Linked DNA regions of Schizosaccharomyces pombe. The protein of the gene in region 3 binds, or shares a complex with, the protein of the main gene of each other region. Each region holds a gene or a part of one and is shown on either strand. Other genes may lie near its edges.

The links. The genes of interacting proteins can lie anywhere in the genome.
Region 1: mrpl7 (region 3) and mrpl33 share a complex: the UniProt entries of both Schizosaccharomyces pombe proteins name them as parts of the mitochondrial large ribosomal subunit.
Region 2: mrpl7 (region 3) and mrp7 share a complex: the UniProt entries of both Schizosaccharomyces pombe proteins name them as parts of the mitochondrial large ribosomal subunit.

What each region holds. Positions count from the first base shown.
Region 1 is NC_003421.2:2,221,479-2,224,260, forward strand, and holds mrpl33 (mitochondrial 54S ribosomal protein uL30m), read right to left. Parts: upstream 1,105-2,782; 5' UTR 1,094-1,104; coding exon 1,044-1,093; intron 989-1,043; coding exon 745-988; 3' UTR 726-744; downstream 1-725. Other genes in the region: SPOM_SPCC1919.07 (uncharacterized protein), read left to right, coding at 105-725; tif6 (translation initiation factor-like ribosome biogenesis protein), read left to right, coding at 1,676-1,710, 1,765-1,836, 2,152-2,779. UniProt on the Schizosaccharomyces pombe protein: Component of the mitochondrial ribosome (mitoribosome), a dedicated translation machinery responsible for the synthesis of mitochondrial genome-encoded proteins, including at least some of the essential transmembrane subunits of the mitochondrial respiratory chain.
Region 2 is NC_003423.3:2,860,979-2,864,606, reverse strand, and holds mrp7 (mitochondrial 54S ribosomal protein bL27m), read left to right. Parts: upstream 1-1,846; 5' UTR 1,847-1,982; coding exon 1,983-2,444; 3' UTR 2,445-3,128; downstream 3,129-3,628. Other genes in the region: Lid2 complex histone demethylase subunit Lid2, read right to left, coding at 1-792; morphogenesis protein Mor2, read left to right, coding at 3,367-3,628. UniProt on the Schizosaccharomyces pombe protein: Component of the mitochondrial ribosome (mitoribosome), a dedicated translation machinery responsible for the synthesis of mitochondrial genome-encoded proteins, including at least some of the essential transmembrane subunits of the mitochondrial respiratory chain.
Region 3 is NC_003423.3:1,735,473-1,742,331, forward strand, and holds mrpl7 (mitochondrial 54S ribosomal protein uL5m), read left to right. Parts: upstream 1-3,169; 5' UTR 3,170-3,505; coding exon 3,506-4,369; 3' UTR 4,370-4,625; downstream 4,626-6,859. Other genes in the region: ebs1 (EST1 family protein), read left to right, coding at 1-1,557; MAP kinase kinase kinase Byr2, read right to left, coding at 4,845-6,824. UniProt on the Schizosaccharomyces pombe protein: Component of the mitochondrial ribosome (mitoribosome), a dedicated translation machinery responsible for the synthesis of mitochondrial genome-encoded proteins, including at least some of the essential transmembrane subunits of the mitochondrial respiratory chain.

The sequences.
Region 1 (2,782 bases), on a different chromosome or scaffold from region 3:
ATAAACCACTACGAGAAAAGAAAAAAATTGACCAACATTGTAAAAAAACTTATTGTCTTATAGGGTACAGGTTCCTCCTTGCCTCTTCAGACACGACGTCCCATATGGTAGTACAAGATAAATGGAAGAGAAAAGCGACATTAGCGTATAAAAAAAAGCATGACATTCATGATGCACCTGTAAAACCTCGTAAAAAAAATTTGGGAAATAACGAATGGAGATTTAAAAATGCAGGGGAATACTTTGATGAAGATAACAATGAGGAAGAATATCCAAGTTTGGAAAGTTTGAAGACCGTGGGGAATGGAGATACAATTCAAGATGAAGAAGAAGATTTCGAGTATTCAAAACTACAAGCACGGCCCCTTACTGGTTTGGGAATTAGCAACCAAAAACCCAAGTCCAAAGTTCGGACTATCCAACGTGAAGAAGTAGCCGACATGTTGGAGAGCGTTGAGCATGAAAAGTCAATTCAAGAATTCCGTAAGCGTTATAATGTACAAAAGCCAAAGGTAAACATTAGCCATGCTGAAGCGGAAGAAGATATTGATTCTTTTCTTGAAAGTATGGATCAGTCTGCTCCGCCTTCCATTACAGAAGATAAAGGGGAAAATTACATTTCTTCTAATCATTCCAGCATGCATATTTCAAGAAACGACTCTAGGAACTATATGTCTGAAAAGCCAAACAAAGACCAAAGTTGGTTAGATGAACTATTACGATAAATATAACTAGAATGAAAATTTAACTTTCAAACATGTTATTCAATTCTTTTAAACCGTTATTGTATCGATGTATCACTGTAAATCCGCTACTAGAAGCAAGAGACTTCTTTTCTTGCCCAGCGGCTAACTTTTGTTTCACAGTACTGACACTAACGAGTTCTTTTACTTTAAAAATTCTTCCCGCATTGATTGGATTTACATCGCAATAGACTACGGAGTGTCTTTTTGTTAACCTCAAAGAATGCAAAACGCTGCGCACCTTACTAAAATATTGGTTAGCAATTACAAGCATGTTTTTCTCGTTTCCAAAACACGTACCTCGAGAGCCCGATGGCTGACCTTTCTAAACGAACTCGAAAGAATGACATTATGGTAAACTAGAAGTTCGTGGAGTCCGTTTAACACTAAATATTGAAACTCTTTTAGTTCAACCGATAAAATACAATTCATATCGCAAGCTCGTTATTGTTCACTATTATTCACTACGTTGCTATCTATTTAACGATACATTGAATTACGATGAATTTTTTGCGATCCACATTTAGTGGAATGCAGTATATTAACTACAATGTTATATTTATTGTTATAAGAAGTCTATTAGTGTAAGTCACCGATATGGTTAAAAAATGGAGAGGAGCGATTTACAGTAACATCTATAATTATCATCTTTCTAGTAGTTGTAATCACATGGTGTCTATGAGTATAGACGACTACTTATCTGTTTACTGTCAATAAACGGATCTTTACTAATATTCCAACATGTAACATATAGTGATACGCAACCTAGTAAATCATTAGTGTAATGCAGTATTACCGATATATCACAAAAAATTATGTTAATTGGTATTACGTGTCTGCTTCACAATGCTAATATCATATTAACGATGTTCAATGGATTATTATTTTTAAGATGTGAAATTTGGCTGGGATAAAACTTTTTCTTTACCAAAATGGCACTTCGTGCTCAATTCGAGAATTCTAATGAGTAAGTTTACTCAGCTTTTTTGCTTAATAGACGCATGATATTAACAAATTATAGGATTGGTGTCTTTTCTAATCTCACAAACTCATACGCACTTGTAGCGCTTGGAGGCTCTGAAAACTTCTACAGGTAAGCTTAACGTTTATTTGATGCCAAAATTTAATGTTCTAAATGTAAACGATTCAAAATTTTTTTAAAGGTTCTTAAAATCCTTAACCAGTCGAACGTATTATGAGAAAAATAAATAGCACATATGTGAATGATGTAGCCTAACTACTCTTTAATTGAGTAAAAGAGACTTTGCTACATAAATGCAAACCACTACTTAAACTCTGGCGGTTTGCTGTTCATTACCTTTATTATTCCTTGACTCGATGCAGCTCGACAAATTATTTTTTTTGGCATTTTTTACATTTATCAACTTTTCACTAACTTTTATAACAGCGTGTTCGAGGCAGAGTTAGGTGATGTTGTACCCGTTGTTCATACCACAATTGGAGGAACCAGAATCATTGGTCGTTTGACATGTGGTAATAGAAAAGGTCTGTTAGTTCCCTCTTCTACCACCGATAATGAACTACAGCACCTCCGCAATTCTCTTCCAGATCCTGTCAAAATCCAACGTGTTGATGAACGACTTTCAGCTCTAGGAAACATTGTGGCTTGCAACGACTATGTGGCCCTTGTTCATCCTGATATTGAGCGTGAAACCGAGGAAATTATTGCTGATGTCTTAGATGTTGAAGTTTTCCGTCAAACCGTTGCAGGCAATGTTTTAACCGGTTCGTATTGTGCATTGAGCAATCAAGGTGCTTTGGTTCACCCTCGTACTAGCATTCAGGAACAGGATGAATTGTCATCACTTCTTCAAGTTCCTCTTGTTGCCGGTACCATCAACCGTGGTTCCGATGTTATCGGTGCTGGTCTAGTTGTGAACGACTGGTGTGCGTTTGCTGGACTTGATACTACGGCTACTGAATTGGCTGTCTGTGAATCTATATTTAAACTTCAAGATGCTCAACCTTCTGCTATTATAAGCAACAGAGACACTCTTGTTGAGTCTTATACATAAGCA
Region 2 (3,628 bases), 1.1 Mb from region 3:
AAGAGGTCGTTTCAAACTCGTAGAGCCGTTGACCTGGATGGTTTGAACAGGAGATTGAGCAGAAGTTTCGGGTATAGGGGATTCTTGCTGAGCTGAACTACGAGTGTTTCTAATTTTCCGAGTTGAGCTCTCTGATCTTTTTGATTTGAATGATGGCGATGAATCCCTTTCAAATGGTTTGATGTATCGATCATAGCAACGAGTGAGAACCTGCCTCACTTCTTTAGTATCTTCAAGACGCAAATAGATTATGACTTTATGTAAAATTTCATTATTTAATGAAGAGCCGGAATTAGTAAACTTTGAGATTGCATTACGCAAACGCAAAAAATCAACTGGGCGATTCCCGATAATCGGTGGGTGATAAAAATATAAACCGCGACTTTCATGAAATGCTTTAAGTTTCTTAAAATAATCATAATTTTTTTCATAATTGAGACAACCTTTATTTAAACATTGGCGTTTTGACTGAAACTCAAAAGCGCCTTGATCAAGAACAACAGGTATTTGCCATCCCTCAGGTGGCAGAAGCTTAATTGCTCCATTTTTGAAAATTGTATGCCAATTATCTAACAAAAATTTAAAGGGATCAGTCATGTTCGAAGCATTCAACTGCACTGACAGTCCAGTTGAAAGTCCAAATGGCCTATTTGACGCGCGATAATTTTTGTCATTATGGTCACAATCAAATTTCAGATATGGTAATGAAAAGTTATCTCCTAGCTTTCTTATTTTCTTCTCTCTTCCTGATCCCATAGAATTATGTTCGTGCCACAAAAGCTGGCATATCATGGAAAACGGAAAAGTGCATAATCAATATACATGGAGAAATATTTAGAAATGCAACACCACCCTGTTTTAAAAATATATACCAAAAAATTTTACAACTTTTAAAAAATATTCTAATAAATTACATAAAATAAAAAACGCGTACATTGATGTATTTATCGTCGATAACACACCGTTATGGGATCGACACGACAGTATTAGGTGGAAGTAGTAGCTTAAAGCTTCAGATCGACATTAACGTAGGTACAGCTAAGCAAAACGTACTTTAATTAGTACTCCCTGTCGTGCTATGGCTGGAAGATCCACGAGAAAAAGATTTTATGCCAATTTTAAAAGTTTTTAACCTAAGGAAGTTTCCGAGTATAATCAAATCCAGTTAAAGCTTGACAATATCCTGATACATTATCCTGCGAACTAAGGCAGCACATATACTGTATAACTTGAAGCATATCGCTGTCAAGGTAGAATTTATGGTTTCTTCACAAGAAAATGAAATTTGCTGGTTCCTGCCACCAACTAGTAACACGAAGCACATCCGTTTTTATTCATAAATTTTTGCTTTGAGGAACAAAACAGTTGAAATTGCATTAAGACATCAATTAGTAGCACAGAAAAATCTATTATATGTGATTCCAGCTGCATACTTTAAAAGTTCAAGTAAAATTGAATATCATTGAGTAATAAAGACAATACAATAAAGGCTAAAACTTTGAAAAAGTTATATTTCTTTCATGCAGTCATTAATGCTGTTTGAATTGAAGAGCCAAGTGAATTTTCCATGATTAAAAAGAAGGATAGAAATTGTCGACGTAAATTTAGTGTCTTTTACTTTTTTTTTCATTAGCGATCATGCTTCCAATATAAACAAAGTAAATTGTAGGTAATGGTACTCTTTTAGCGAGATATTAGGAGTAAGGAATTTCAAACAGAAAATGTAAGGCTACACTATTGTAAAATAAGAATATTTTATACGATTACCACGACTCGTAAATTGGGATAAAGGAAATGTAAGGTAGAAACTTTCGAAGATTGGTTACAACGAATCCATCCTTTTAGTATAAACCAATATTTCGACGAAGATATAATTTTTTTAATATTTAGTATCCTTCTACATTACTAATTATTTGCCAAATCAGTTTAACACATTTTTCTTTTACAATACGTACTTCATTTGATGCAAAGTTCACCGTGCAATGATCAATCAAGGGCTTTTTATTCGTGTTAACAATTTTCAATTACTTAAAGCTAGTTTAGCTTATAAGAAAGCATCAAATATTCTCACTTTCCCTCCTATTCGTACTTCTACTAAACATGGCGGTGGTTCATCGAAAAACACAGGTGATTCTGCTGGTCGTCGTCTCGGCATAAAAAGGTCTGAAAACCAATTCGTTAGGGCTGGTGAGATCCTAATTCGACAACGTGGTACAAAATTTCATCCCGGAGATAATACCGGTCTAGGTAAAGATCACACAATATATTCTCTTGTTTCCGGATATGTTAAGTTTTTTCAAATGGATGTGTCTCTTCGCAAACGGAGGAAATACGTCGGTGTTGTTTTTGACAAAGAGACAACGTTACCAAGGCCCAAAGATGAACCTACAATTCGCCGTGTCAATAAGTATATAACTTCTGCTAATTCTGCTCAAGTTTCATGAAACCATGCGGAAACTCTCATCATCATACCTGCAATGCTCACTATTTAGAGATACTTCAAAAGGATATACTAATAATTACATGCATCAATGCCTTTGGATTTCCTTCAACTTAAGGTTGCACGAAATAACATTTTCTTCTTTTTATTATTTATTTAAACTCCCGTCACGGTCATCGTAGTTTATTACTGTCTAATGCTCAAAAATGTGAATGCATGATTAAATTTATAACTTATTTTGTTACTTTGTCTTGGGCGTATACAAGTTTGCGTATATGTCTTTCTTTTTCTACTGATTTATGCTTCTATTTTTTTCCACGCGAATAATTTGATAATTAAGCATTGTATATGTTGTTCTTAAACTTTCAAGTTTTTTCAACAAATATTTATAATTCGTTTCCAAAAAGTTAGCGTGTAAAAATCGCATTTGCCACGGTTTAAAAATCATTAAAAAAAACTGAACTTGTACCATATTATCTTTTCTGACATAGAATTCAGAAAGTTTTGACCAAACATACAGAAGGTTATTCTTTTTTTACATTTCATTTAAAAATTATTTTGGGCATTTTGAAGTTAGACTTTTAAGTATATCACCTACTATATAGTACCACACCTACTACAACGCAGTGCGTTATATTCCTTTATGTGCAAAAATTGTTGCAGTGTGCTGAGAGGTTTTATTGTTCGGAGTGCTAGCCATTACAAACTTCTAGTTTTGAATCCATTCACGCCTAAATTTTAACAATCGATTGCTAGTCAATTTGCTTACGCATGCTTAAATATAAAAACTAACGAGATAGCTTTTTTATACACTTTTTTCTTCACTTTTCTGTAGGCTAGCGGTATTGCTCTCAAACCCTTACTTTGCATACTCCTTTTCTTTGAAGTTCGTCTATTTAGTAGATAACCATATAATGCCAACCTGAATGAGCTTGAATGAAATTGCTCACGATCAACCTGTCGAAAATGGTCCTTTGTATTCTGAGAAGCAGGACCATACGGCAGTTGATTACGCGCTTCACATACTTTTCACCCAGTTTGTTCGACTCTCTGAACAAAAAATATCATTTCTTTCTCGTTATCATGCCAACGAAGGTAAGAATGCTGAACCTGTACGATTCAACGTTGGAGAGCAAGAAGCTATCCTCCTTCTTAAAAAGGGGGAAGATAATGAATTTGACAGATGTA
Region 3 (6,859 bases):
GTTAATGTAGAGGATAAACGTCTCATTCAAGCTTTACCTGCTATTTCTTTTTTCTTTTTGTCATCCATATCCCCTAACAATGTTGCGGCCTCATCGGCTAAGACTAGTTTATTTATTGCTTTGAAGCGTTGCTTCGGCAAAACTAATGATGGTTCGAATCCCTGTTTATATCATAAGGAATCCTCTGCCATTTCCCTGTTTTTGCGTCTGTATGCAATTGCTTTTAGTAATACTGATGCCGACTACATACAAGACTCTGGTCCTTTATTCAAACGAGTTCGATTTCTTCTTTCTGAGTCACTTAAAAGCGGCTTGTTTTCAGAATCCTCTTTATTACAGATGACATATTGTGCATTGGCTGCAAGGGTTTTAGCTCCATTTATTGGCTTTAGTGATTCTGGAGAACACGGTGAGTCGTATCCGAATTTAAAGCTTGCTACACAAACTACAACTATGTTTTTTGAAGTCCTTTCTGATTCAGTGAATAGCCAGCTTCCTTTACAAGCTCTTACCTCTGGTGTGTCGAGTAAGAAGGACGGTAATTTTGATGATCTAGTCGAACGTCGTCAATATGGATCTCTGTCTTCAAATGCTGTACTTATGCCAATGCTTCTACCTTTGTGTGTTTTGACTTCTTCGTGTTTGCAAAATGGGGACGTCTGGCTTACTAAAGATATTCGAACTGGACTTTCACAGATATTCAATCGTTTAAGCTTCTTTTTGGAGAACACAAATCAAACAGCTCCCGACGACTCTGTTCTTGTACGCTGTTCTTCTAAAAGTATCGGCCTGCTATTCTTTTTCCCTCTTGTTAAGGTTTGTGGAGTTCCTCGTGATACTTTACAGTGGCTTTACTTTTCAAATCATTATCCTTTTAATGAGGAAGGTAAAGGTCCCCAAGTTGATGATTCTGACGCACTGATAACAATTGCGTTAGATTCTTTGTATGTGTTACTGAATATGCGAGCGAAAAGTACACCAAATAGCACATCTTTTTCTTCGCCTCCAACACCCCACAGATCTCCATTTAGCGGACAGGCTTTTACTGGAATGGGATTATCGAATTATTCACTAATGTCCTCATCTTCTTTTCCATCTGCTCAATCTTCTCCTACATCTCCTTTTTTATCTGGAACACCATCCATAGCTAATCAGTCATCTAGTATTGCAAGTCTGCAATTTGGGAGGATGGTGGATAGCCTCGTTGGACCTGTTCAACCTATACCTGCTCAAACTACCGGGTGCTCTGTTCATTCATTACAACAACGCACGTTTTCAAATGAGAGTCCTAGAGCTGTCGATTCTGGTTTTAGTAGGACTAGCACACCATTTAGTGAAAGTACTAGTTCTTATCCTTTAGTGTCTGGGAATCTCAGTTCTTGTGAGACACACTTGAACGGATCTCCGCAAAACGGACATTTACAAGGTGAACGTGTTTTATTCCGCCCATTGAGAAGCCCTGCTTTAAACACATTTTCTACGCCTGCTACGGAACCTCCGGAACATTTGGTTTTGTCTGAGCTATTAAAGAAAATGGTTAACATCAGCAATAATTAAACTGTATTGTTGATTGTAATGTTTCATTAAAAATTCTGAAGTTTGTTAGAAGCAGTCAATTAACTTTGCTGCCAACAACGAACAAATTTCTTGCTTTATTTCTCACGAAGTGAAATAACCCAAAATAATGTATCACGGATTTCTTTGTTTATACACTGTGCTTACGAATTAGAAATGGTTCTTCACTTGCCTAAAGAAAGGCTTTGACTTTTATATAAGTATGAATAGTCATCAAATGGCCTAAAGTGTACGGGTATTCACGACACTTAAATTAAAATATGGTCGATGGGAAAATAAAACGTTGTTTAGTTATCATAGCGCTGTTCTGGTTTGACCTAAACACAAGCAATTAAGGCGCTTCCCAATGTTACAATATATATCATAGAATGGGTTAATTGTTTACATAGGACTGCGTTGAATTCTTTAAATAGAATCTTTAGCCTCGAATTATGAAGTTATCTGACTTGTTGGATATCCTCAGCTTGCCAATTGATTGATAATAAGCATATGAGCTTGGACAGTGAATATTCAATATTTGGTTACTCAGTGCAATTTGTTTTGTGATTCTAAGCAGAAATGCTCTTTATAAACATTTACTGCACTATCTTGAGTTTCTAGAGCTTGTTCTGTATCCAAATTGTAATGACTGGCGATTCTCAAGTGCCAGATCTTATACCTCTTTTTATGTCTTTACCAGACGTTATCGTAATGCCTGGACACAAAACTAAAGTGTAAATTTGTCTTTCCTATGAAATGCTTGGTTTTTCATTAAAGTGTTACGAATTCGAAACATATATCTATGATTTTTGAGTATACACTGGCGGTATCTGTTGTTTAAGATAATTTAGTTTTGAGTTATTCGAGGCAATCAATTTCTTATCAAGTGTGATTCTCTTTTTAGAAAACCAAACTAAAAGTAAATCTATTGATCTTTTCAAGTATTAAGACAACTTGTTTTCTTTTGGATAAAATGCTTTTATTGTTGCATAATAGATTGATAAAGGTACGAAATGTATAAATGCATTATTTTATGTTGAGTACTTTACTCTTTCAGGATTGTGTTTGAGCTAAGCTTCTTGCATCTCTCATTCATCATCACACATCTATATTGAAAGGAAAGAAGGTAAAAAACGAACAAGAACAAAGTGAATACAAAAGAACGAATTGGATTAGTATTGTTATTGCATGAAAGTGATCTTATGACATGCATCACTATCCTATCCAAATAGTTTGTAGAGCCAGTTAGTAATAATACTTTCCAATAATTTGAATATGTGTGGCATGCCATTTGGCACGATTTTGAGAAATACAAAAATAAAATCATCTTGTAAAAGAAGAGCAATTAGCTGCTTTTTTATGTACCAGCTGAAGGAAAAACATTTGTTTTTCGACGTATAAAAAAAAACAGAAAGACATCAGCTTAAAGCTTTAAAGCTAACTTGTTTAAATAAGTTTGTAAGTTACAAGTACAATACTTTCTATTACACTTGGCACTCAAAATCGTGTGGCATATGATTATAACGATGCCTCGGATTTCCTTACTTGGCACTAGGTAATACGGTACACTAACCATGACAATACACTAGACAAACGCGAGCAATCTTCCAGCCCTAGTACCTAAGATCCATTGCAAAATTGTTTTGGTTGCGAGACTTACCTGTTTTATCCATAACCATTTGTTAAAACCTTCCTTTGAAGATTTGAGAAACAGGTATCATTTGTGGACATTGGTCTTTACAATTTCCTTGTTTCGTGATTATAAATATTTTTTCCCGGATTTGTGTTATTTACTATAATTTATTGGTAAATTATAACACAAGTGCTCATCTGCTTATAAAGCAAAAGGATTTTCACGAAAATTCCCTAGAAAGTAACCTGTTGTATTTTTGTCGCTTTTGGTTTCTCTTTGTCATTATACTTGTTTTAATTCATTTTTTAATTTTTAACAATGCTTGGGATAAGAAAAAATATCAGAATATCAGTTAACTTTCTGCAGCGAAGAACCATCACTGTAAAGCAAAAACTGGGCAAGAATAGGCCCCTACCAGGATGGGATCCAAATTCTGAGTATTTTCGTCCAGGACCCACCATGTTAAATCGCTTACAAGAACACTTGCATGATACCATTTTACCGGATGTATTAGCTGCTTCATATCGACATGACATAGATACAGCGTTAAGCACAGATGAACATACACAGAAAGACAGACTTCCAAGGTGGATTGGTGATAACCCTTATTATAAAAACCGGCCTCCTCAGAAAATGCGTGGTAATAAGCCTCTGTTACCAGTAAAGGAGTCCGTTAATCCTAAAAACCTTCCTTCTATTAGCAAAGTTGTCGTCAGCACTATGCATAAAGAAGCACTCGTTGACAAAACGCAGCTCTTGAGTACAATGATGGCATTTCGTTCTATAACGGGTTTGCAGCCCGAAATAGTCTATGCACGTAAGGACGTTTCTCCCTGGAAACTTCGTTCAGGTGTGCCAGTAGGTGTAAAGGTTACTCTAACTGGAGAATCTATGTATACATTTCTTTCAATCTTATCTGAGTTGGTTCTTCCTCAGCTTCATGATTTCAAGGGCCTGAGTCCTACAAGCGGAGATCAAACAGGAAACATATCTTTTGGTTTACCAAGTGAAGTCATGCCTTTATTTCCCCAAATTGAAGCTGTTTATGAGATGTATCCGCACTCTTTACCTGGATTTAACGTAAATATAACAACCAATTCCAAAGATACCCGTTTGGCTCGTTTTTTCGTCAGCAGTCTTATTCCATTTACAGATGGAAATAAGGAAGGCTATGTTGGATAGTAGACAATTTATTTTATATCTACTATACCTAATCTTTTCTCCTCAAGGAGTGAACAAAAAATCCCCTTCTCTACGACTAATGCATACATACGTTTTTGAGTTTTACTTGTTTAAGTGATAGAATTCCCGTAGATATGTGTTATTATATATTTATGTTATCGTTTTCACAAAGTAAATAAAAATAAAAAGTTTTTTCTTGAAAAGGAATAATCAATGGATATTTTTTAAACAAACTGAACATGTAAAATAGTATTTTTTTAGTAACTAAACTCATAATGGTATTTATCAAGGACATTCACAAAATCATTAAAAACATGAATATTGTAGAAAAATATAGCAACTTAAATCATACGGTTTATAGGTTAAATAAATTCATTAGTTCTAAATGGCATAAATGCAATGATAATGATGCAAAAAAACATAAAAAAGATAGATCGTAAAATAATGTTTCTGTTTTCATCATAACTTAGCCGGCTTATGAAACGAACGGGTGGCTCAACAACTCTGATGCTGTAGGTCTAAGATTACAATCTATGGCAAACGTTTTCTCAAGGAAATCTATGGCCGATGAAGAAATGTTAGAAGGGAATTCCGGCAGAATGTTCTCCCCAATTCTGAAAATGGCCTGCATTTGATCACAATTCGGATAAGGGTGCTTACTAGTGAGCATCTCGATTACCAAACATCCCAAAGACCAAATATCTGTTTTCTCCGTATGCATAGTTTGCTTCACCACTTCGGGAGCCATCCAAAAAGAAGAGCCTTGAAAAGAAGGGCGAGCACCACCCGTCTTCGTAGAGGTACTATTTAGTTCAAGTTTCTTCGATATCCCAAAGTCCGAAATTTTAATCTTCCCTTTATTATCAACCAAGATGTTCGCACCTTTTATATCACGGTGTACAATGCCGCGTGAATGAAGGTATTCTAAGCCTTTAAGGGTTTGCTTAATAAAGTTCTTGACTAGCGTTTCCTCAAAGCTTCCATACATTGTAAGCAATCCGGCAACCGACCCCCCAGGAACATATTCCAAAAAAATGTTCAAGTGGTCCGAATTTAAGTTAGAACCGAGATATTGGACAATATGCTCATGAGACAACTCCTGTAGAAGAGCAATTTCACCCGCTAATGCATCTAAAAGTTTGGCATGGCGGTCTTTTGATTCAGAAACAGAATCTAAGATCACTTGCTTAACAGCCATCAACTCACCACTAGATGCATTCATACCGAGATAAACTTGTCCAAACGATCCTGAACCTATTAACGCACCACGTATCCATTTGATAGACTGATCATCAGTGTCCTCTTCAAGTGTATTTGTGTCCTCACTTGTAGTGGAAGTTGGAGAAATTGGGGATGGTTGCTCAATAAATGATGGGGATGAACCAGGTGAAAAGGAAAGTACTTGATGGTTGCCATGCGCGCTTTCTGAAAAAACATTATACTTCGACGATTTTTCATTTCCGTTGGACTGGTATAAAGGTTCCACACCAACCATGGTTATGGATTTTTGAAGCGATGGTGGTCTAGAAATACGCTGAGTAGAAGATACAGTAAGTGGAGGATCAAATCCCCTATCAATCCTAGGAAGTCGGTTAACATCTTCAGCAACAGAAATCCTCAGAGAGGAAAGAGGACAAACCAATTCGGAAGGGCGAGCCCGCCGAGAGCTTCTTGGCAAAATTTCTTGACCAAAATTACCAAGATTGTGCCCTTGAGACGTACGTATGCTAAGGTTTCTACGAAGAGAGTTTGATATTGTTTTTTCCAGTAGCTTTGGTTGATGATCGGGGAAAAAATCGGAAATTCTAGAATTAATAAGCTCGCTAGGAGGTCGCTGGTAGGATTCAAATGGTTTCGCATTATTTGAGCGGACACTTCGTTTCTGAGTGCTCGTGGGAAGAACAGAGGAAAGTTTAGGAGAAAGGGAGGACTGTGATGATAATGCTGCCGGTTGAGCCAATTCAATCTCCCAAGAACGGCGGAGGTCTTCAAACGATGGACAAGGCTTTTCTTTTGGCACAATAATTAACCTGTCGCGTTCCGGTGAAGATGAATTAAAACAAATTTGTTTAAATTCTTCTTCAGTAATCAGCTTAATTCGACTACTCTGTGAAACGCATACAATGAATTTTGAAGCATCTTCAAGGCTAAACTTTTTCAAAGCAATAGCGAGTGTTTTCTGGTAATCTCCTCGTGATTGAACTGCTCGAGTTTGCCCGTTACAGGCAATAAACCTCAGTATACATGGACGTGGAAACTCTCGTAAATAGTCTCTTTGTTTTAAAAATTGTTTGCCTTTGGCGGTGTTTTCAATGCCTAGGTCTTTCAGTAAAGGCAAGGTTAAATGATTTAGGTGTCGTCCTTCAATGTTATTTTGTGAAAATTGTTCGATATACTTCTCCAATCCGATACTTTTCAACCATTCTGCTACCTCCTTCGAGGTATAATATTCCATAAATGCAGGAAAGTGGTTGTACAACGTATAACTTC